Styela clava: one gene and its partners. The protein of the gene in region 3 purifies or fractionates together with the protein of the main gene of each other region. This does not show direct contact. Links are inferred from orthologs where the notes say so. Each region holds a gene or a part of one and is shown on either strand. Other genes may lie near its edges.

Evidence for each region. Proteins that work in one complex are often made in the same cells at the same time.
Region 1: the proteins of small ribosomal subunit protein RACK1-like (region 3) and vigilin-like purify together in Homo sapiens (affinity purification with mass spectrometry; 3 studies listed by BioGRID and IntAct, with this or other methods). This does not show direct contact. The link is inferred for Styela clava from reciprocal best matches to the Homo sapiens genes RACK1 and HDLBP.
Region 2: the proteins of small ribosomal subunit protein RACK1-like (region 3) and serine/threonine-protein kinase RIO3-like purify together in Homo sapiens (affinity purification with mass spectrometry; 3 studies listed by BioGRID and IntAct, counting the BioPlex papers as one, with this or other methods). This does not show direct contact. The link is inferred for Styela clava from reciprocal best matches to the Homo sapiens genes RACK1 and RIOK3.

Annotation. Positions count from the first base shown.
Region 1 is NC_135256.1:9,777,258-9,785,279, reverse strand, and holds the start of vigilin-like, read right to left. Parts: upstream 3,088-8,022; 5' UTR 2,937-3,087; intron 2,663-2,936; 5' UTR 2,627-2,662; coding exon 2,593-2,626; intron 2,428-2,592; coding exon 2,288-2,427; intron 1,757-2,287; coding exon 1,535-1,756; intron 1,171-1,534; coding exon 964-1,170; intron 679-963; coding exon 586-678; intron 435-585; coding exon 312-434; intron 1-311. Other genes in the region: endoplasmin-like, read right to left, coding at 5,769-5,930, 6,780-6,935, 7,634-7,712, 8,011-8,022. UniProt on the Homo sapiens protein: Appears to play a role in cell sterol metabolism. It may function to protect cells from over-accumulation of cholesterol.
Region 2 is NC_135258.1:13,577,182-13,584,572, forward strand, and holds the start of serine/threonine-protein kinase RIO3-like, read right to left. Parts: upstream 3,088-7,391; 5' UTR 2,953-3,087; coding exon 2,691-2,952; intron 2,194-2,690; coding exon 2,042-2,193; intron 1-2,041. Other genes in the region: uncharacterized protein LOC120338848, read right to left, coding at 3,773-4,748, 5,134-5,198.
Region 3 is NC_135260.1:11,114,512-11,122,018, forward strand, and holds small ribosomal subunit protein RACK1-like, read left to right. Parts: upstream 1-4,848; 5' UTR 4,849-4,975; intron 4,976-5,896; 5' UTR 5,897-5,915; coding exon 5,916-6,875; 3' UTR 6,876-6,981; downstream 6,982-7,507. Other genes in the region: actin-like protein 6B, read right to left, coding at 364-1,626. UniProt on the Homo sapiens protein: Scaffolding protein involved in the recruitment, assembly and/or regulation of a variety of signaling molecules. Interacts with a wide variety of proteins and plays a role in many cellular processes.

The DNA of each region.
Region 1 (8,022 bases), on a different chromosome or scaffold from region 3:
TGCAAATAAATAGAGTCTATTCATATTCAAAGAGCTAAATAAGCTGGTATGAGAAATTTACACACTGTATGTAATGAAAACCTATTGCTCATGCTTCCTGCCTCAAGCAGATGGTATATTGGTGCCCAAAGTTACATAAAAATTTTAATATCGTATTTAATTTGTATTCATGTAACATATGGCTAAATAATGATTTTATGGTGTTGGGTTTTGAAAATTGAAGATAAAACAAATTTTTATTAAAAAAAAAAATTAGTAAAAATCCTGCATTTTCGCATCATTTTATAAAATTAGGAAGAAGAAAAATTCACCTTTCTTTGATGGATTTCTTTGATAATTTTCACAGCTTTCGTGACTCCATCTTTATCACCGGTGACCACAATCTCATTCTTTCGAACACTAGGAGGTGGAATGTGAACACGAACTCCGTTTTCCTAAAAAAAAATTTTTTGGGGTTATAGCTGTCAATACATATTTTCTGGTTTAATTGTTTTGTGTTGTAAGTACGGGTAAATTTAGTGGCAATATCTATCTTTAAAGCTTTGATAATCTTCTTCGCAAATTGAAATTTATGTTTCAACAAACCTGTTCTATTTTCTGAGAAAGTTGATTTCTTGGTCCACTGATAAAAGGGTGAAATTCTTTTTCAACATTCAGCTTCTCAATAGCAAGTTTTGACTGAAAAAGTTAAGCACAAAACATTAAAAGTATGAAAACAACTATGAGTTTCAAGTTTGCAAACGGTTTCTAATTATTTTTGAACACTTTACCAAATCACAATGTTACTAAATAGCTGATACGCATTGTAGCACAGAACAAATTTTTCAAACGAAATATCCAAAAATCAACTTTAAGTCAAAATTTTTATGCAAAGTAACAAAATTTCGATAATATAAATAAAGTAGTAAAAATAAAAAAATTATTAAAAAAATCAATTCTATTGAACACTCAATAACACGTTACCTGTTCCTCTGATATGAGTTGGATTTCATGTCTTGCTCTACTAATTCCGTCTTGAGTACCAATGATCGTGATGGTCCTGCTAGTGTCTTCTTGTCTTGGGACGTTGATTTTTGTAGCGGTATCAAGTTCAAGTTTTTGCAATTTGCTCCCACCCTTTCCTAAAATGACTCTATGGTGTTCTTTCGGAATATCTAAGGTAACTCTAGCCTGAAAAGATTGAATTAAATTATGTTACATTGAAAGTACTTCAATATATAACAAGCAAGCTTAAATAAGCTGGTAGTATTCAATCACACCTTTGTGAGTGTGATGGGCCAGCAGTTAATGTATTAGAATTGACTGTAATGATATGGCTGGTTTTACATATTAGTGACAGCTCGACTCGTACAGTGCCTTGTTCATAGCAGAGAAGGTGTGAATGAGCACTACATGAAAAACCTGCTCCGACTTTTTTTTTTTATTCTTGTGCTTTCGCTGTTTAACAATCGTCAAATAAATAGAGGATTTTTAAATTTATTTTACATTAGTTAGCTAATACGAGAGAAAAATATCAACGAGTGAACTTATTCACCTGAGTCTGAAGTCTGTTGAAAATGTCACGTCTGGCTCTCAAAACAGCATCCAATTGTCCAGATACGAGCAATGAAAGAGATCCATCTTTGCAAGTCGACATTTCGATATGAGCTCCTGTTTTTTGCATAATATCGAGACAAGCCTTGTTTTGATCTTGTTGGGATTGGCCAAAATTTTCGGTGTGTTTGAATGCTCTTTCCTCCATTGGGATTTGGAACAACTGCAGAAAGTTAGAATTATTATATTTACATTAAGTTTCTATTTCATCAATAAGCAATAATAAAAACTACACATGTTACAACTGAATGTATATTATGAGCGCATCAAAGTTTTAAGTGATCATTTTTACTAAATGATTTTTTATCACCTCTCAAATATATTATCGCAAATCAAACCTAAAGTATGATTAAATGAAGCTCTCAAAGTGAAATGGCTACTCGACTGGAACTCTGTTACACTCAATTTATCCAATAAAATCAACCTATTAATGAAGTTCCTGCATACAGCAATTTTGTTTGTTTGTCTAATAGCCATGTATATTTGTACAATCAATTTAAACAGACAATCAGACATAATATAGTTAAATTTGAAACAGCAAATTTATAAAATTATTTCTTTTAACAGAATATAAGCGAGTGATGAATGGCTTTTTAAGTAAGCAAATTGTTCAAGAGAAAAATGGCAAAATAAATCATATTTGATAAATATTAAATAACGAATTTGTATAATGGAAACAAGATTTCCAAATAACCTGGGTAACAACACTCGATTTCAATCTTTGAACTTTAGGGTTGACCCATTCATTCGCAATTGCAGTTGGACTGCCTGACCGATTAACGGGGGCCAAAGCGGGAAACGCTTCAGCATAAAGGGGTACTTCTTCATGGTTATCTGAAATGAAAATAATAGTTTATTATTGAATCTACCGATTACAACTGATTAGAACATTTGATTTTATTCGATTAAGTTCTGATTCAGAATTCAACCTGAAGATATCTGAAAGCATAATTCTAGAAGTGAAGAAAAGTATACTTCATTAAATTCAGGTCTTCTTACCAGAACCATTTTGTTGAGCAACTTCAGAATTCATAGTCTTTGTCCGTTCACGGTCGTGCACTCCTGAACCCTAGTGTGAAAAAGTTGAATATTACATTAGAAAATCTCTATTTGTTTTATACAAAACAGATGTTAATATGCGAGGCAGATTGCCAATTGAGAAGCGGACATTTTTTGAAAAATTCAACAATTCAAAATGTTATGTGATTTATTTTACTCGAACAAAACTTCCAAACAAGAATTCAAAGCTATGAGGGGAGGGGACAGCATAAAAGAAAAAATTGTGTATAACTGTATAGGGTAACAGCTAAATTACGTAAAATTCAATTTTGACTTTCACTTACAATATAAAAAAAGGAACAAGTAGCGCTATCCAAAGGTCGGTCCGGTTTTTAATCTTACTCTGAGATACAGTTTGATTGATTAGGAATAAACCTGAAAACACAGTACATTGTATCAAATCACATATTAATAAATCCATATTAATTCTTCAAGTCTGGACATTTGAAAAACTAAAACTGTAAAATGGCTGTCCTCCAACAATCTGCAGATCTGGCAAATGGACAATCAAAACACTGAAATTTCATTTATCTTTCTCAATATCATATTATCGATGACTAAATTAAACGCAACCCAACACTAACTAACTAAAATATCATCTTCGAAAAATCAGAACACTTTATCAACCCTGCCAACTAGACCACTAGCAACGTCAGCAACCGACGTCGAGTCACAAACTAATGTTTTTCATTCATCGGAGTTCTGCTACGTGGAGCGGATGTGACGCCGCATTTTGTTACGGATGAGTACCTTTCTTTGCTGAGGGCAAACTGAAGGACCATCTAATATGTTCGTCCGATAATTACCCAAAAATCGTACCGTTTTACTTGAAAGACTCAATAAGATAAATACTTTTCGATAACTACCGCTTACTGGTAGTTTAAGCGTTTTAGAAATTAATACAATGGGTATGAGAGATACACAGTTTATTTTTTTTTTAATTAGTTTTCTGCTTTGTTTCTATTGTTCGTTTTTCGGGATATTTTGTCGTGATTTACCGATGAACTTTGGCGTATAATTTGTATGTGAGCAGACGAGAGGCCGTGGTTCGCCCGTAAATAAATACTATGATCAAGCCGTCTATAGGTTTTCCTCTCATCTCGGATAAATATGTAAATCCTATCCTATCCAACCCCCCTGTTTTATATGAATAGCAATATGCAGTTTTTTGAAATATGATTTAATGTCTATTTCGCTCAGTCCTAGATGATGATGTGATAATGAACAATTTGCTTGTAAATTTGCTCCAGACTAAGTTTCTATTTCATTTTTTACATTCGTATATCATGTTATGCTATTTGATCTGATGACACTGTTGAAACAAACTCACTTATTTTGCACGCGATAACTATATTTTAGGAATTGAGCTATATTTTAGGAATTGATTGGTATTTTAATGATGTTTGTAGTGAACGGATGTTTTAGTTTATATTCTTCCTCATATTTAGATATCGCTCGTCGTCGAACGACTCATGGGTGCTTTAGTATTAATTTATTCGATGCCCGGATAATATACAAAATCCACAATATATACGTAATTTTTGAAACGATATATGCCGTGGATTCAAATTTTTTGTCAGCCGGTTCCTTCACAAAAGTCTTTTTTATTAGCCGGTTCTGTTGCAAACAGAACATTAACAGTACCCAGTGATGCTAACCGGTTCGCTGATCTCATAAAATTCCTTGAGACGGTTCTATAGAACTGGTACGAACCGGCTGAATCCCACCACTGGACATATGCAATTGCGTTTCAGACTAGACTCGTGCCACGCGCCGATCCGTGGAAGACATAATGGATAAACTATTCTCGGGCCCAATATAGACCGGTAACTAACGGAAAGTCGCGTCTTATGTGGCCAGGGTATAAAATTAAATTGCAATGAATTGACACAATCTATACCGAAGTGGCAAACCCAATGTTTACTTACAACTTTCACGGGGTCCATTTGACTGTTCAAATGCTTCTGGCGTTATAGATATCTTCAGATATTAATTGACAATTCTCCCAACACCTGGTATGTGTTATCCAGCCTTAGCGTACATGTGAACTTGCAAATAGACTCGCAATTACACTTTGGCATCTTCGCATCCAGTATGCTCCCCAGTTTTTCCCTTCATGGGAGTCATTTCCAATTTTAGGGGATGGTAAATATTTATTTGGTATTAGCAATAAAGCTATTTGTATCCCACAAAAGTGTTATATATCTGACAGACTATCTGAGCCGGTATATGCGCCACATTTTGGATATTGGAATACAGTTATGAAATTTTATGGTGGGGGTGCAAGGAAAGCACGGTTTGCACCACACCGATACTTCTATAGAATAACGGCTGACCAAAGAATATTTCTTCAATAGACTGAAATTAGCACTAACAAACCATTCCCAACAAACAGAACAGGCAAATGCAATAACTTTCAAAACATTATTAGACCAGAGGCCACCCCATGAACGAAGTAATTCTTGAAAACTGCACAAAGTTATATATCACGATGTTAACAGATCACGCAAAGATTTGAAATTGAATCACAAATAAAGCAAGTTTTGTTCGTTGATAATGTTGCTTAGAATGTATTCCAATTTCAAATCTCTGAATCGTGACCTCTGAAACTTAACTGAAATAAACAAACACAATAATTTCAACTCTACGATCGCCGGTATATAAATAACAGAAAGTTAGCACTTGAAGGTATGCGAAGGGCAAAAGTGCTTCAATCCTAGGTATGTTAAAACAAAAGGAAGTCATAAATCACTCTTTTCTACTATGAAGATATCAAATAATATACTAGTACTTCAGTTTCTAGCTTAGCGCGCATATTGGTTACAGTAATAGAACAATTACTACCAGCTTCTATATGAAATTTGAAAACTTAATAAAGTCTGAACAAACTTTAAACTGCAATGAATTTTGTATGGACGTCAGACAACAAATAAGGCTTCTTTATAAACGAAAAATGGATGTATAACGAAGTTTGGTCATTAGATAGTTTTGAAAAATATGAAAATTGTTCACAAATTGTTCATATTTTTCAAATCATGATTTTTTTTATGTGCTGGCAACAACAGGCTTTCACGTAGTTGTCCGTACGTACAGTGACTAGTGAGGTTTTTTCAGCTTTACAATTCGTCATGAGATTCTTCTTCGGTTTTCTTTTCTTCTTCACCATCTCCCTCTTCCACTTCATCCTCACCATCATCTTCTTCTTCATCCTCCTCATCAGCATCTACTTCCTCCTCATCTTCCTCTTCTTTTTCCTCATCTTCAGGCTCCTCCTCAATCTGAATTAGAGAAATAATATTTGAAAATCCCGCCTAACAAGGAATCCAGAAAAGTACTCGAAGACAAAACTACTTTTTATTGCAAACTTTTGCATAGCCCATTGAACGTTTGAATCTAAAATCACATCCATATATATTTGATGGATTTGAAAATTGGGAATAGCTAGTTGCACAAGCCGCCGAGGTGTGGAGCTGGTTTGAAACTCAATGGTATAATACAAATTTAACTTCAAACTTTTTAAATTATGGTTTAAAATGAAATCGGAAAAGTAAATATAAAACTGAAAAGGTTAGATTTTATTATTTTTATGAGGTATTAGAAATTTATAAATGTGAAACATAATCATCAGATAGTTGGGAGCTAGAAACACTAAAATTTCTGGCAGCTATGTCTCCGACTTTATCTATTAGGGTAAGCTTGGCTCTAGCTAAAACAAAATCTCATGGTTCCAGATCCCCAGCCCTGGCACAAGCAACAGGCGTTGGAACTTTGCATGTGTGCATGCATTACAAGATTTATGTCACGTTTTGGAAAAATAGGACAAGCATTAAAAAGAGTTATCATCATTTGTCAAAGCGAACAGAGAGGCAGAATGTGCTTCCTGCTGCGGATCATCGCTCCAAAGTTTGTTATAGTTATAAACTATAAAATTTGGGAAATAAAAATACTATCAAGCTATGTTAACCTTGGACTTTCACAATTTTTGTGTGTAGAGACTGAAACTTCCAAACAGAGATGGAAAATGACAATTTTATGTTTAATTAATGTGTAATCTATATGCAACCCTAAAAGGCTACTTTTTACTTTCTGGCTATATAATATTATCACAAATGGCTTCACGAACTTACCGGAGTGTCTGGATCAATGTTGAGATTCTTGTAGAGCATTGAGAGAATACGTTTGGAGAAATCAGCAGAATCTTTCAATGTATATCCAGATCTTAATACTGCTGCATCAAACATAACTTGCGCAATTGATTTTGCCTGATCATCAGCATTATCAGCCTAAACAAAAATATGTATGAGGTTACAACTCAATCATTCAATTTAAAAAATAATCTACAAATATAACAGATGTTCATAAAGTCTCGTTGAAGTCAAGTTATCTAAATATCTTTCGATCAGTGTTTATTTCCAAGTTTCATTCAATACACTTGCAGGAGCCAACAAACCATGTGTGGTGTAGATAATTTTTTTTGCAATTCGAAAATTTGAGACTTTACGAAAGCCCCAATACTAAGCGTACTAAAATATTACATAGGCAGCCTTTTTTTGTCTTTTATATGTATAGACAAAGTAAGGGTAAAAATAACTGCACATACGTTCAAAAATTGACATAGATTACCATGAGCTATTGAAGATTTACTGAAAATTGACATATTGCCCAGGTTTTCACAGTAGCGGTTACAAGTCCATAAATTCAGATAGTCCAAGTCAATTAATCCAGCCTCCTAGCACTGGTTTTTAATACACATTTGCTCAATGCAGAAGTCTCAAGTCTGAAACCAAAACCGGGAGCAGAACCGACCGGAAAGCTGCAGAAATCCAGTCACACATCAAAGAGCAACACATGCTTTATCAGTGACCAAGATTTTAGTAGACACCCCTTTTCATGAGAGTTTTACTGTCAAGATTCACGAACAATAACCAAAATTCGATAAAATGTAATAAATTCAGTAACAATACACTGAATAAATCATTACCTCAACCCTTTCCAGAAGATTCTTGATCAAAGGATGTCTTGGATTAATTTCTAAAGTTTTCTTCTGATTTGCATAGAAACTGAAATCATAAGTCAAATATCACTACACATTCAAAAGTCAAATAATAGTCATCAAATGACATATAATACTCTAATATATTTAAAGCTATGTCTAAAATGACTACAAGCTACATTTTTGTACATTGGATCAAAATTGATCTAATGGTTTAAATTTCAGTCTTCCAAAACTGGGAGCTACGCGACTCACGATTCTTTTTTAGTAGCATATCGTTGAGCACTTTGCAAACGTTCCATATTTCCAGACCTTTATTACAATAAAAGAATCAGTGTTGAAGTACAAAAAAATAGTTTTCTTACTTTGAACTACTA
Region 2 (7,391 bases), on a different chromosome or scaffold from region 3:
CTAAAATAATGTTTTCGAATCTGGAATTCCGAATACATTCTAAAATCGAAAATAACACATTTTTGTTTTAGTTGATTAAAACCCAGTAAATTAGGAAATAAGCTTCAATAGAAATATCAGAATGAAGCCACAAACCAACAGTATATGTACACAAAGTAATTGATAGTTTATAGCTATCAATAAAAAATAATGACAACTTGTGACACAGTCAGTTTATTAAAATTATTCACTTTGTACAAATGACCATATGAAAATATATCCAAGGAGCTCTAAGTCTATTGACAAACATACTACTTGTATTCAGATAAGTGTGTATATTTTCTGAGAGTAATAAAATTTATTGGCAATACAGCCAACAACAATCGAAAATCCATTATGCCTTTAAAAATTCTAATATTTAAGCCTAGAGTATTCTACAACCTACCAGTATATTTGTATATTAATTTATGGGAACAATATTGTTGTGTTTGGAATTAGAAATAAATTAGTAGAGAATAGATGACCACCACTGCCAGCGCGCAGCCAGGATTTTCGAAATCGAAAATTCCCATTGCCGCCTGTAACACCCACCGCGATTTCGCGCTCGTTAAAAGAGCCGTCATTTCAGCGTGTAATGATCATTCTGTTACGTAAAAAATTCAATCCATGACATACAAGATTCTAAAATATCTTTATATATTAATTTAATGTGTCCAACGTAACTCGCAGTTGCTTCTTCTTGCGTCAAAAAAAAAAACATTACTATTCGGTCCACGGCGATCTGTGACCTAATATTAAAAGAGATAAACTGCCTGATGTATTTAATATTAATACGTATTTTTGCAATCTTGCCAACTCGTTATCGCCGTTAGAAAAATCTCAAATAATTATATAAAATCCTGTTAAGTGTAGAGTATAATTCATTTCATACAATGAATATACATATAAAGTTTAGCAGTAAATTAAAAATACATATTCATCGCCGCGATTATGCCACCTGTTAAAAGAGTCGACTTTTACAACAAAAGATATGACAACGAATATATATTTTTCTGTTGTGCAAAGTGATGAATTCGTGACCGACACGGGCATATTTAAAATGTCTTGCTTTATTAATTTAATTGTCTTCAATTTAACCTGCGGTTGCGTCGACAAAATAAAATCCTCACCACTCTTATATACCATTGCAATCCGCGGTCATAAAAATAAAAACGTGAGGTAAACTGTTCGATTAAATATTGTTTTGATCCGTATTTTGCGAATTCGGCAAATATTTAGCTGTACTTGTTAACAGTGACTCCGCTCGATCGGAATGCTGCCACTCTGATTATTTTTAGATGAAAACCGTTTGAAAAATTCATAAATATGCTGTAATATCTCAAGGTAAAATTTATTTCATCACAATAAAATTGATCGAATATACTTCAGATTAATTATATTATATACATCCTCACAACCCGGGAAAAAGTCGCGTTTCAAACCTTGTATCGTGTTAACACGAAAATATTCGACGGCAATTTAAAGTATTGGATAATCAGGCAAATCCCGCCCTCAATTAGTGACGATATGTTTCTAAACACCGACCAAACATAATGTGTGCGAGAGGCACACGAAATTTTGCGATTTTCACTGCCTAGAAAAGCGTTTTTTAAATTTTCGCGGGCCTCAACAAAACTTATATTGTGCCACTTTTCAATCAAAATGTTGCGTTGTCTTTAGAAACTCGCCACCAATGAACGTACTTACCAGATTCACAATTACGTGCGCGTACAAAAATAGAATAAATGTTATCGTTATCGTGGAACAAATTTGTGGGAAATTTTCGTTTTAGAGGAAATAACACGTTTCGCTGATGAGTGATGAAAACAATCACGCGCAAGTTTCTATCGAGGATGTTTTCATTCAACGGAAACGTCTCGAAAGCGGCGGCGAAAATGTGTGACGTCACACAAATATCCGATATTCTTATGAACGTGAATTTCGATATTCGAATGATGAGATATTCGAATACTTTATTCGAATTGGCCATCCCTGCTCATTGATATATAGTATTCCATCAAACCTTTGAATACTGATTTACTCTTGATTCTTCTTTTGCTATGTATTCATTATATTCTTTGTCCATTTCTGCTTGTAACATGAGAGCAAGTGCTTCATCACTGGATGTATCAGGAAAACCATCTCCCAAAACAATAGGTTGCTGATTTGATGTTTCTAAATATAAAAGAATTATTTTTAAGCAGTTCGTGCAATGAATTTTGAAGTGTCCCAAAGTAACTTGTTAGGTTTGCAGCTTGGAAATAAAATGTTGTTGTTACCATTTCAAGGAATATTCGTACCATAATTAAATTGATATTCGAGCACTCCAGCCCAAAATGGCAAAACTTGGAAAAGCTATTCTACTCTGTTACTTTTTATTGTTATAATTTGGTGAATACTTATTGCTTCAAAATATCCTTAGAAATAAAAAAATTTCTATATTTTAATTAAACTTTTATTAAAAATCCAACATTACCCTATTTTAAAAATTACCATCTGTATCAAATGGATTTATTCACTATTGTCTTATTTCTCACCTGAACTTGTGCATTCACATATCAATTTTTCATTCTAAAATAACTCCAATTTACGGCATCCAACACTATTAACATGACTACGGCAATTTGATAAATTTCATTTCTGGTTTCTTAAACAGTGATCCAGTATCTTACCAATATCATCTATCGGTTCTTTGAAATCATCTTTTATAGTTTGATATTCTTCTTGAACAATGGAGTCTGCCAATTGTTCACTCATTACATCAGCAAACGAGATAAGAGGCTCCATACGATTAGACCAAGATCTTCCTGATCCAGGTGACTTTCCACAAGTCATATCAGGTGAAGTTAGAACACTGGTGTTTGGTGTATCCACTGCTCCTGTTTCAATTACTTTAGTGCTGGAGGCCATAGTTCCTTGTTGCCAGATTTTCATAGAATGAAATATATAAAATGTTTTCCCCTATGACCCCCCACCTGTTACTACCGTACCAGAATATATATTTGAAGATTGAAATGATGGAAATGTCCCTAAACCTATCTACGACTTTTCTGAAAAAAAAAATGGAGCAATAATAGAAAGTTGCAAAAATAGTTTATCGCAGTGAAATGGTAGTTTGTAAGGATCATTAATGGAGTATAAATATGATTTCTTGTTTATCCTGACAAAATTAAAGACAGTAAAAGAACTTCATGAAGCCAACAGTGATACAGTATTTACAGATGTACAGTAGATGCAGTGTATGGTTCCATCGTTTAAATCTGGTATGTGATAAACGCTGGTGAAATACTGCTGGACTCCTCACCATCAAAAGGAAATTTACACTCCTGCTAGTCGGTTTTATATGATCTTAGTAGCTTATAGCATAATTCAGTGGTCATCTGTGACATAGCTCTTGATGACAGTTTGTCTTTTTTTACGTGCAAGATCTAGCTTCGAACAAAATATAAAAAGACTCGGAGCCTAAACTTGACACGATTTAAGGCAGCACAATCAAGTTATAAAATACACAAGTGAATAATTACCAGCGATGCATTTTCCAACATGATTTTTTGATACATTTGTAATTTTAGATTGACATTGCTCTTTACAGAAGAAGCATAATTGAAATATTAAGTACATAATAAATTCTTTATTCCTGCTACAGCAATCTTGCATAATTATACGCACATAATGGGTCCACTGATGCAAAGGCAGAGAGGAGGGACAAAAAATGGTCTTGCGTAACCCCATCACCCCGACTGATAGAAACGAACTATTGTTGTGCACAAGTAGGTAATTTTTCAGGTTCCTCTTTCTGTTCCGTTTTTTTCTTTGCTGGTGAATCTTCATACGTTTCTTGTTGTCGGTATGGCACTGCATAAACTATTTCTTTAGGATCAAAGTGGGTTAGATCAAACTCTTCTAAATCTTTACTTGCGATATCAGGGCTTGTTCGCTTAGGGAGATAATTTTCTATATTTTGTAAAACGGACAAATCTTCAAACTTTTTAGGAAATAGAACATTAAACATAACTATAAGATCTCCCTTTGCACCAGTTTTGGAGTTTAACACCGGCATGCCTTCATTTTTCGCACAAAGCATATCGCCTGTCCTTATTACTGTTCCTGGTTGTGTCTTTAACACAATTTTTCGACCATCAAGATGTGTAAAAACAAGTTTCAAACCACATAACGCATTAGTTATAGAAATATTCTTTTGTATATACAAATCATGTCCACATCTTCGAAAGTTACTATGTGGTTGCTCTTTTATAGTGCAAACAATGTCACTTGCCGCATCTGGTTGATTAAGCATTGTATCACCTTCACCCTTTATCCAAATCTGATGCCCATTTCTTGCCCCGCGAGGTATGGTAACAGCATGGTATTTTTCTTTCTGAAGAGTCCCTTGCCCAAAACAAACATCACATGTAAGAAGTCTGAAGCCTTTACCATCGCAATTCGTACAGTTGTTTAAAATTCCTGGATCGGACCTTCCGGTGCTTGAGCATACAGCACAGCTGTGCTTCTTAATACCACGCGAGCAAGAGGTACATGGTGTTTTTTTGTCTGCGCGAATTCTGACACTCATTCCTGTGTACAATTTATCCAGTGATATTTCAATTTGATGATGTACATTCTGTGGTTTGTTTGGATTTGCATTGACCTCTGCTATTTTTATCCAATCAGTTTTCAATGCATCTCGTCCAAGTAATGATTTAATTTCCTCTTGAATATCTGCCATTTTTCTGAAATACATGAAGTTGTTACATAGCCATTAGTTACTACAAGTATCAATCTAAATTAGTAGCTAAGGCATTTTAGTGTCAGCCCTAACTTTGCTTAGAAATCAGTCTAATTTACTTCCGAGGTAGCAAGACCTTGCTTTGAGCAAAAAAAATTGAAGTACGACATACTCTTGTCAATTAATATCACACGAGCGGATAGATCTGTAACGACAGTACTAGCCCTCTGAACAACACTGATAGGTTTTAGACAATATATAATTATAGGCTTATAAGAAAATTCCGAAATATTTCCAGTAATGTAAATATGAACAGAATATGTCTTCATTTTTTTTTAAATGAAAAATAACATAAATATTATATTACCAAAAATAATTATCAACAGTACATTATTAATATGATATACATGGTTTTACATCCAAGGAAGAATTCGTCATCATCCATTTTTTCCATAATTCATATACCGGGGTACCGGTAGGTGGTAATCAGCATCATTTTTACGATTACAATATTATTATTATTAAGATGAAGCATGTAAAAACAAGTTTTTCAAATTATTATATATCTACCAATTACATACACTTATATGGATGGACATTTGTATACATATTCTTCTATAGGTATACTTCTATTATACTTACTATAAACTTAGCTCTCTTTTGAAATTAAGTAATTTCCTATGTTGCTCTACTTTATTTTGACATTTTGAAGCATTTTTCAGTTTTTAACAGTGTTTATTAAACTAACACTTGGCATCACATTTTAAAAAATTACTGCATTTCGATGCAACCAAATCTCATATCTAGTATAGTAATACACAATAACAAAATAATAGCATTTCCTCTAACTTCATACTTAAATTGTGTGCAATTAGTTAGGTAGTTAAAAACAACTGTGCGTGTGATGAGCGAGACGGCATGTAATAGACAATACGTTTATTTCGTCGTGCAAGAAATCACTACACAAATTCAGAATAAGAAAAAAAATTATGCATTACAGTAATGGATTTCATTGCAATTGACTGGAAGTCGCGATAGACCAGAAATGGTCATCATAAGTCAGAAAGTCTGCGACACCAAGATTCAAAATGAGTCAATAAAAAAATTGAAATAAAAGCAATAAACACAAAGAGAAACTTAGTCCCTCAATAATTTACCAACAAGGTTGATATGAATCTTCATACATGATTTGGGAGAGATAGTAAAATGAAAGTCGGGAAATTCAATTGATACAGTAGGCTAATTTGCATGGGAACTGGGGCGATATAATGAATCTAGAAGCAGTTCAGAGGAAGTTTACAGCACAAATAAGCTGTTGTATAGGACAGAGTTATGAGAACCGCTTGAAGGTTTTGGGACTGACAACATTGTTAGAAAGAAGAATGAGAGGTGAGTTAATAGAAGCCTTCAAAATACTAAATGGTTTTTGTACATATGCGCAACAATTTTTCAACAAGTCTCCTAGAACTGGTAACCTTGTAAGACAAAATCAGCATTCAAAGTTGAACTTTTTTGGGAACAGGGTCGTAAAATACTGGAACAGCTTACTATTAAATGTGACGTCAAGTGCATCTGTGAATATTTTCAAACACAATTTGGATAAATACAGAGATTCCCATGTGTCCAACCCAAGTACACTTGGACAATACTGGGAATTGTCAAATATGATATTGGAGAGAATTAGATAGTCCAGTTTTCGACATTTGTGTATTAAATGGATTAGCAATACTATTTGGGTAATTGTCTAATGTCCTTTCCAGTGCTTTCACTAGTCATAATTTGTCTAGTCTTAATTGTAGTAATTTTTGTGATAGACTACTGTGATACATTGTTTTATACAGGTGTTATAGATGTTTATACCGTGGTATATTTATATTGTAGATTTTGAAGTTGTACTAGGTCTGTAGGTGTGAAACCCAAAGAGGTATTATTTGTTTAATTATAAAAATAGTTCACCATATCATTCAGCTGTGCTTCTGTACAATTGCATCGATTAAATTCTTATCTATTGTCATATGCAACATTAAATCGAGCGATTATTTTATTTGATGAGAAATATTAAATTATAGGCAACCTCCTTGTACAAAATCGAAGGCGCAATTTATACTCCATGACAACCAGCCACATGAAACTTTCAAGGAAGAAAATAAAATTTAGCCCAAGGTCAAAGTTACGCGCATATATCGAGATCGGACTCCACACACTTTTTGGTTTTGGTTGGTTACCGGTAGCTAGTTAGTTTGTAAACAAACAGCTGTACACATTATTTCTAGATGAAAATGACCACTGTGAAGCTAGTAGCAAACCTTCTTCTAATTTTGCGCAGCGGTGCGTATAATCTCGTTTTTGTGCTCATTGAAGGGTGATATGACAGTTTTGTGCTTATTGAAGGGTGGTGGCGTAAAACATGGGCGAGTCCTAAATTCCACACAGAGAACAATGATTAAGTTTGTAGACAGGCTGTGGAAGAAATACATCACGATAAGCAGTAAATTCAAATATATTTGACGGCAACTTAGGATACAGAGTGGAGAGCATCCCGGCGGTTTGATCGCCTATGCAGTTTCATTTGTCATAGTACGTTGTCGAAATTAAATATACTCGGCTGATAAAATTGATCAGGACAAATATTTTGACAAAAAATGTT
Region 3 (7,507 bases):
TGTTTATATTATGCAGTAGTAAGTAGTCCACAGTCTTGTTGTCATGCCCACCACAATATTTCCTGTTTCTTATTTGGTCCACAAACACAAACATCAGTGAAAAAGGAAAATTGACAAGATTTCATTGCATTGCATGATTCTAAAACAGAACATTAGATGTAGTTCAAAGTATTCACCCACTCAGTTTATCTAGTTAGCACAAAATGTTTGACAAGTATTAGAGCTGTAACAATTTCAAAATTTGTTTCTGAGATGTAAGAATGGATAAAAGTATATAAATCGGCTGATACTTTCCAATTTATTAAGCTTGTACACTTTTATCAATTTATCACAACAATTTTATTTTTCATTCAATTCCATACATCAAGGGCATTTTCTCTCTACACTAGATTTTCCAGCTTCTTCGTATTCTTGTTTTGAAATCCACATTTGCTGAAATGTTCCTAAAGAAGCTAAAATAGATCCACCGATCCAAGGTGAAAACTTACGTTCAATAGAATTTGTAGGAGCAATAATTTTTAATTTGGCACTTGGTGGTGTTTTGTTTGACAACTCAGCTGTGAGCCTGTCAGTAAAACCTTGAACTAAAGTATTACCACCAGTTACAATTACACTACTGTAAAGTCCAAGTCGAATATCGACATCACATAATCCTACTGAAGATGATACAACGTGAGGAACGCCAAGCATAGAATTTCCTTGGATAAGTGATGGATCAAAAAGAGCTTCTGCAGCTTTCATACGCTCATGGCCAAAGTCTTGATGATATCCATTTGGGAAGCCATAGTGACATTGAGGCATTCCCATAGCATCTTGCTCAATGTAAGGTGTGTCTAGGAGTTGTAAAACTGATGCAGCAAAGTCCTCAAGAGTGTAATTCATCATGTACTTCTTCCATGATTCTGTAACTTCTGGAAGATCTTTTTTCTTTTCCCAATCTGGTTGACCTCCTTCTTTGGCTTCTTTTTTTGAAGCGATCATGTATGCAGGGATTACATCAATGTTTAAATTTTTCATTACTTCTCTACATTGCATAAGGATGAAATCGCCACCGAGCGGAGATTTTACGATTCCTTGTTTGAGAACATATCCATCGTGTACTGGTACAGCAGTTGTGTGGGTAGAACCGCTATCCAAAACAACCCCAGTTGATCGCCCATTAGCAAATGCTGACAAAACAGGGGATTTGCAAAGAAAAAAGGCAGGTACATTATATTTCTCAAACATTACTTCCGTTAGTTTTTCTCGCTTGTTTCTTGCATTCCAAGCTGGTTCGGAAAATAACACAGGATGTAAGTTAGATTCGCTATGCAAGCCACGTTTGTAAGTATAGTCCAACATAGATTCAAATAAATCCCAATCTTCTATCATTCCATCGAGAACGGGTGTGACAATTTCAGTATCTTTCCTTGGAGTCAACAAAGCACTTGTACCAAAATGCAACTTCTTTGTTGGCTTGGATTCTTCTCCTTCAACTTCCATTTCTTCTATTGCTTGGGATCCAACATGAGTAGGAAACACTGATTTGGGACAATCTTCTCCTGCATACCCAGCACGGACAGAATGTGATCCAATATCAATGACCAATGCACCGACTTCATCTCCACCATATATACCCCCACTCATGGTTTCTATTTATTGAACTATTAACTTACTTAAAAATTAAAATATTCAATGAAACAAATGATAATATGATTATGAGTTTAAAAAGAGATAAGAGAAGAGATTTCTATAGGGAGAAAATACAACAATGTATTCAGCTATATCGGATTTTGAAAATTTCCTTTACCTTCCATAAACTGAAATTCATGAATCCATGACTGAAGGTATCTTGACCTAATGCCACAAATGAAAATATTTGAATTGGTAAAAAAAATGAATGCTAAACCACTAAAGTTACGGATATGCGAAATATATGTGAATACTCCAAAACACAATTGTTAAAAATAAACTCTTTTCTTCTGTTTAATTGCAAAACTTGTTATCACTAAACATCCAAAATGAAGCTTTCAAGAGAGTACGCAGGGTGAAAAAGGCAATTTGGTATGGACAGAAAACGCTGGTTCTATAAATAAAATCGATTTGAAGCTGTTTAATTAGTAATCATGGGAACATGATACGAGTAACTCAGAGCTGAAACACGTAGTGTGTGTGGGGTTCTTATGATAGCAATACCTTCTTTCAACGGGTTGTGTAATCTCTTATGATGGCAATACTTTGCATTATCCGTCTAATACAATAAAAAATAATTGCACTCTTGCATTTTGATGGCTGTTGTACAGTAACAATATGGTCAACGAATAATAATGTCATAAACTAGCTCCGAATTCGTGACCTCCTTAAATGTAAATTTGAATTTCTTGGGCAACAGTTTTATCTATATGAATGGTTGTTTATCATTTTGGTGAAAATTACACAAAAACCCTTAATAGTTAAGACTAATGATACAGTGATAATAGGATTAAAATAGCACCTACAGGCTTTGCATGCCCTAATAAAACTAAATCCATTAGAATTGAGTAAAGGTATTGAAAGTCTGTGCAATTTCCAACACTCAACATAAACAGTTTTCAAAATCCAAACTTGGGAGACCTCTGAATTTTTTGACCAGTTCATGTAGGTATGAGATCTTCTTTTATAACTCTGGAAACATAGTTTTGCAAAATATCAGCAGTATTTTAGATGTAACTGCACGACATGTTATCACAATATCGAAGGGGGAGTTTTTACTGTACAATATGGACATATTTGGGATTGCACAATAATATTCGATTAATTCGAGATTCAATTCAATAAAAATATTTGATTCGACTCAGCAAAATATTCGATTTTGGGGAGCCCTAATAAAGGGTCTGGTATAGTTTAGTACCACATGTACTTCTAGTTGACCTGGCTTAACAATTTTTGCATATGTCAATCCTAACCCCACCTGACTACGTCACCGAAAAATTACGTCATTTCGACGTCACAGTGGCGTAATAAGGCCCACCGAAGTATGCGGATGCTTGTCCAAAACGCAGACAATCACCCGAAATCGAGCAAGCAATTTCTCTCGTTTTCTCGTCACAACGATCACTATAGGAGAGAGATCGCCGACTTCAGCAAGTTCGTTATCGGCAGCGCAGATGTCATTTCGAGCGATCGTAATTCTACTTTGGCAATCTCTATGACGTGATGGTGACGTCGTAGTGACGTAATTTTTGGATGGCATAGTCAGGTGGTGGTTAGGAATAAAATATGCAAAATTCGTTATGCTACGCCCACCGGAAGTACTTGTGGTACTAAACTATACTAGACCCCTAATAAATACACATTTTCAAAACTCTCATTGCATCATTGAATTCTGGAATTCGGGTTCTTCATAATATAATTACAGTTATAATACACAAGCTGACAAGTGTCTGAGTTTCTTTTTAATCCCTTTTTACTGCGAAAATTTTTAAAGATAGATTGTTGCTAATTCCGTGATTATTAAAAAATTAAATTTTTTCACATAACCAGCTAAAATTTCTATAAATATTTTCAAGCAATCAAATACAGAAATACATTTAGACTACTAAAAGGATTTACAGAAAGATTATAGAAAATAATAAAACTTGAAATTCATGGCATTGAAATTTCTTTTTCAGATATAACTTACCGTTCAGCCGTTATTGTCTCATTGTGCCATCTCATATTGATGTGCTGTCATTGGACGTTAAATCTCAAACATTATATCAATTCTCATGAACTCCGGACTTTTAGAAGCTTCCTTAAAAACTCTGGTGTTCAATATTGTATTCACCAACTATCCATTTTGATTTAAAGCTCGGCATTTGGCAATGATTAAGTCGTCCAGTCATCTTATCGGCTTCCCTTTCCCCCGGGATAAACATGAACACGTTAGATATCATCACGCTTTGGATATCATATCCCAAAGCCGAACAACATGTAACATCGCATAAAATAGGCATAAGCAGCTCCCGCCACTAAATTGTCACATGCCAGATTCAAAAATGATTAATTAGCGATAAAAAATGCTTCACAAACATTACCGATAAAACACAATAGAATATTTATTGTAATACAGTTTTTGTAACTTTTTAAATTAATTTGCAATTGTAATATTCAACTAATATAAAGTAATTTTTATTTATATTGCCATTTGTTATGCGTACGATGAGAAGTTGGCAACTGAAAGATGAGATAGGCTATATTTGCGCCACGAAATGAAATTTAAATATCCGGCTCTTATGAGAGCTGCTGATTAAAAAAAGTATGTCATTCACATAATGATGAATTACTTGTTTTTCATTAAATTTAAAACTTGTTGCAAGTTTTTTGAAAATAAGCAAGATATATAGAGACATGTTTTTGAACATTTTCGATAATAGAGGAAACTCGTGAAACGACGAATCAATGCTTATATTGGAAGTGCCATGTCGGACAAATGTTCGCGTGTTCTGAGGTAAAATGAATAAAACACAGGAAAAAGAAATAGATGATGAATTTCATTTGGCGAATAAGCAAAAACAATTGCAAATACCCAAATATGTTTTTGTAAAGGGGAAAAGGTAAATAAAAAATGGGTTTCTGGGTAGGTATCAATAATACCCTCTTCATTGACGCTATTTTTATCTTCATAGATGGTATTTCGTGAGACTGCTTTCACTCTTCTTGTGGATAAATATAAAATCCTCTCTAATATACGCAACTCTCAGCACATGTGGCCATGCTATCCGACAGAAGATAGTAGTTGCCAGATATATGCATTATGAGTTTCCGACATACAAAGTTTTGTCGCCAAATTTTATCCGTTTAAAATAAAATCTTTTGTTGAATATTATTTTATTTATCATATTACTATAAATTCTAATATATTCAAACAATTACATGTAGTATATGAAATCATCTCTACACAACTATAGTAGTTTTCTTGGTACAATCTGACAACTGCCAAGCCATTTCAGCCTTTTTACTTCACGGTCTCGTCTAGGTAGGTCGTGTTTTATTTGCAATATTGTTTTTATTGGTTTCTTTTTGAAATTAGCCATTTGTATTTATATGTAATTAGCACTTTTGTTGAAAAGAATTATTGAAGGTTCAGTAAGTTTTTGTTATGATGCTGAAAAATGTTCCGTTTGGGCAGACTTTGACCCATATTGCAAGATAAATTTCAGGTGCCACAGATTTTAACATTGAGAAATCTAAGGCTTAAGTTATTCAGTATATCTGGTTGATCTCCAGTCTGCTAGTGGGCAAAATACTTACTTTTTGAACTCTGGATAATGAATGTTTCGTGTTATTAGAAAAGGATTTACATATTTATCCCGGGGGAGAGAAAAGTCGATAAGACAGCTTAACCATATGGTGAACCACGGCCTCTCGTCCGGTTATCATTCCATGTTGAATATGGGATTAGTTAGTTCTTTAGAAGCATGGACTTGATGGTTGAGAAAGCCGTAATCAACCAGCGGTTACGTGAACCATTCTACGGCGGTGAGGAGTCTAGCAATTTTCTCGAACATAACTATCCTTGTATGGGATTCGGACATGCGAACCTACGCAGAGGTGCAGTGGCGAGCGTATTCCTAACGCTTAGCAGGATAATCCCCCCGCCACGCTCTGATATATGGTCAAATTAAATGATTTTGAGCTTTAAATAATTTAAAGTATTTTGTTTATGTGTGAAATTTTGGTATTGTGGAAAACTGTTATGTATATATAAAAACAGTTAAGCCCAACCACAGAACCAAGTCTGATTAAACATAAATATCTTTCATTGAGGCAGTTATTGCTTTGGCTCACAGGCTAGTTGTAATTTGACATAGTACTTGTTTAAGTTTATATTATGAAAGCGAAATATACACAACACACAGTGAATCACAGTAACTCACTTTAATTCTTTATTTTTCAGGTGCATACACTAAGCAGTCATGGAGCAGATGACATTACGTGGTACCCTTAAGGGTCACAATGGATGGGTGACTCAAATCGCAACTACTCCGGCTTATCCAGACATGGTTTTATCATCATCTCGGGATAGAAGTATTATATTATGGAAATTAACAAGAGAGGAGGGAAGATATGGTGTACCACAGAGAAGAATGACTGGTCATTCCCACTTTGTTTCTGATATCGTTATCTCATCAGATGGCCAATTCGCTCTTTCTGGATCTTGGGACGGCGAGTTAAGATTGTGGGATCTCACTTTGGGAGTTAGCACTCGTCGCTTTTGTGGACATACTAAAGATGTCCTATCTGTTGCATTTTCCACTGATAACAGGCAAATTGTATCTGCCTCTCGGGATCGCACAATTAAGTTGTGGAATACACTTGGTGTGTGCAAATACACCATAATGGATGATGGACATTCTGATTGGGTCTCCTGCGTCAGATTCTCACCAAATTCAGGCAACCCCGTTATCGTGTCATGTGGATGGGATAAGATGGTTAAAGTTTGGAATTTAACTAATTGCAAACTGAAGACCAACCATTATGGCCACACTGCATTCTGCAATGGCGTTACCGTTTCACCTGATGGATCTCTCTGTGCTTCTGGTGGAAAAGATGGACAAGCTATGCTCTGGGATCTCAACGAAGGAAAACATCTTTATACTCTAAATGGCGATGGTGAAATTCATGCAATGGCTTTCTCACCAAACCGATATTGGCTTGCTGCAGCATGTGGACCTTGCGTCAAAATCTGGGATTTGGAAGGAAAGGTTATCGTTGACGAGCTGAAACCAGAGCTTATCAACATGCCAAACAGCAAAGCTGATCCACCAGAATGTCTTTCACTCGCTTGGTCCTCCGATGGTCAAACCCTTTTTGCTGGTTATGCCGATAACTTGATAAGAGTTTGGCAAGTATCTGTACCAGCACATATTAGTTAGAAGGATCATGATTCTGCATGAATTATTGGAATACTCATTCGACAAAATGAATGGGAATAATGTATAAGAATGTGTTCCATACAAAAATTAAATATTCCAACCAATACTTAGCAGTGTATTCATTCAACTGTGCCATCGGGTAACAGGGGAGTTGAGCAATGAGACGAAGTAGTTGCAAGAGGAGATTTGAGTACAGTGTTTAGCGTAGCATGTAATGCTTGTAACCCAGTTGTGATACTGCTAGTATTTGGCTCATATACATCAGATTTTTATACCACATGCGTCCAGAGATTCTCATACGCGTAAGCCCTTGGCAGTCAACGGAACTCAATATTCTGTAGAAGATACCGTTCGGTGTGCTATATATTTCGTATTAGGAAGGATTCCGCTACTGAAAACCTCTACTAGCTAAAATAGCCAGCATATTAACTAAGCAGAACTTATCGGACTTGTTTTATTCAACCAGGGTCTGTGATGATACACTTTAAACTAGGTACTTTTAACCTGCAATGCGTGTACAGTAAGTTAGTCATAGGTACGAAATTACATATCAAAGGTACACTATTTAAATTTTTGCTTCTGCTAGGTCACACAGCATGCATCTTTCCACTTCTGTGCCTAAACATGCTACA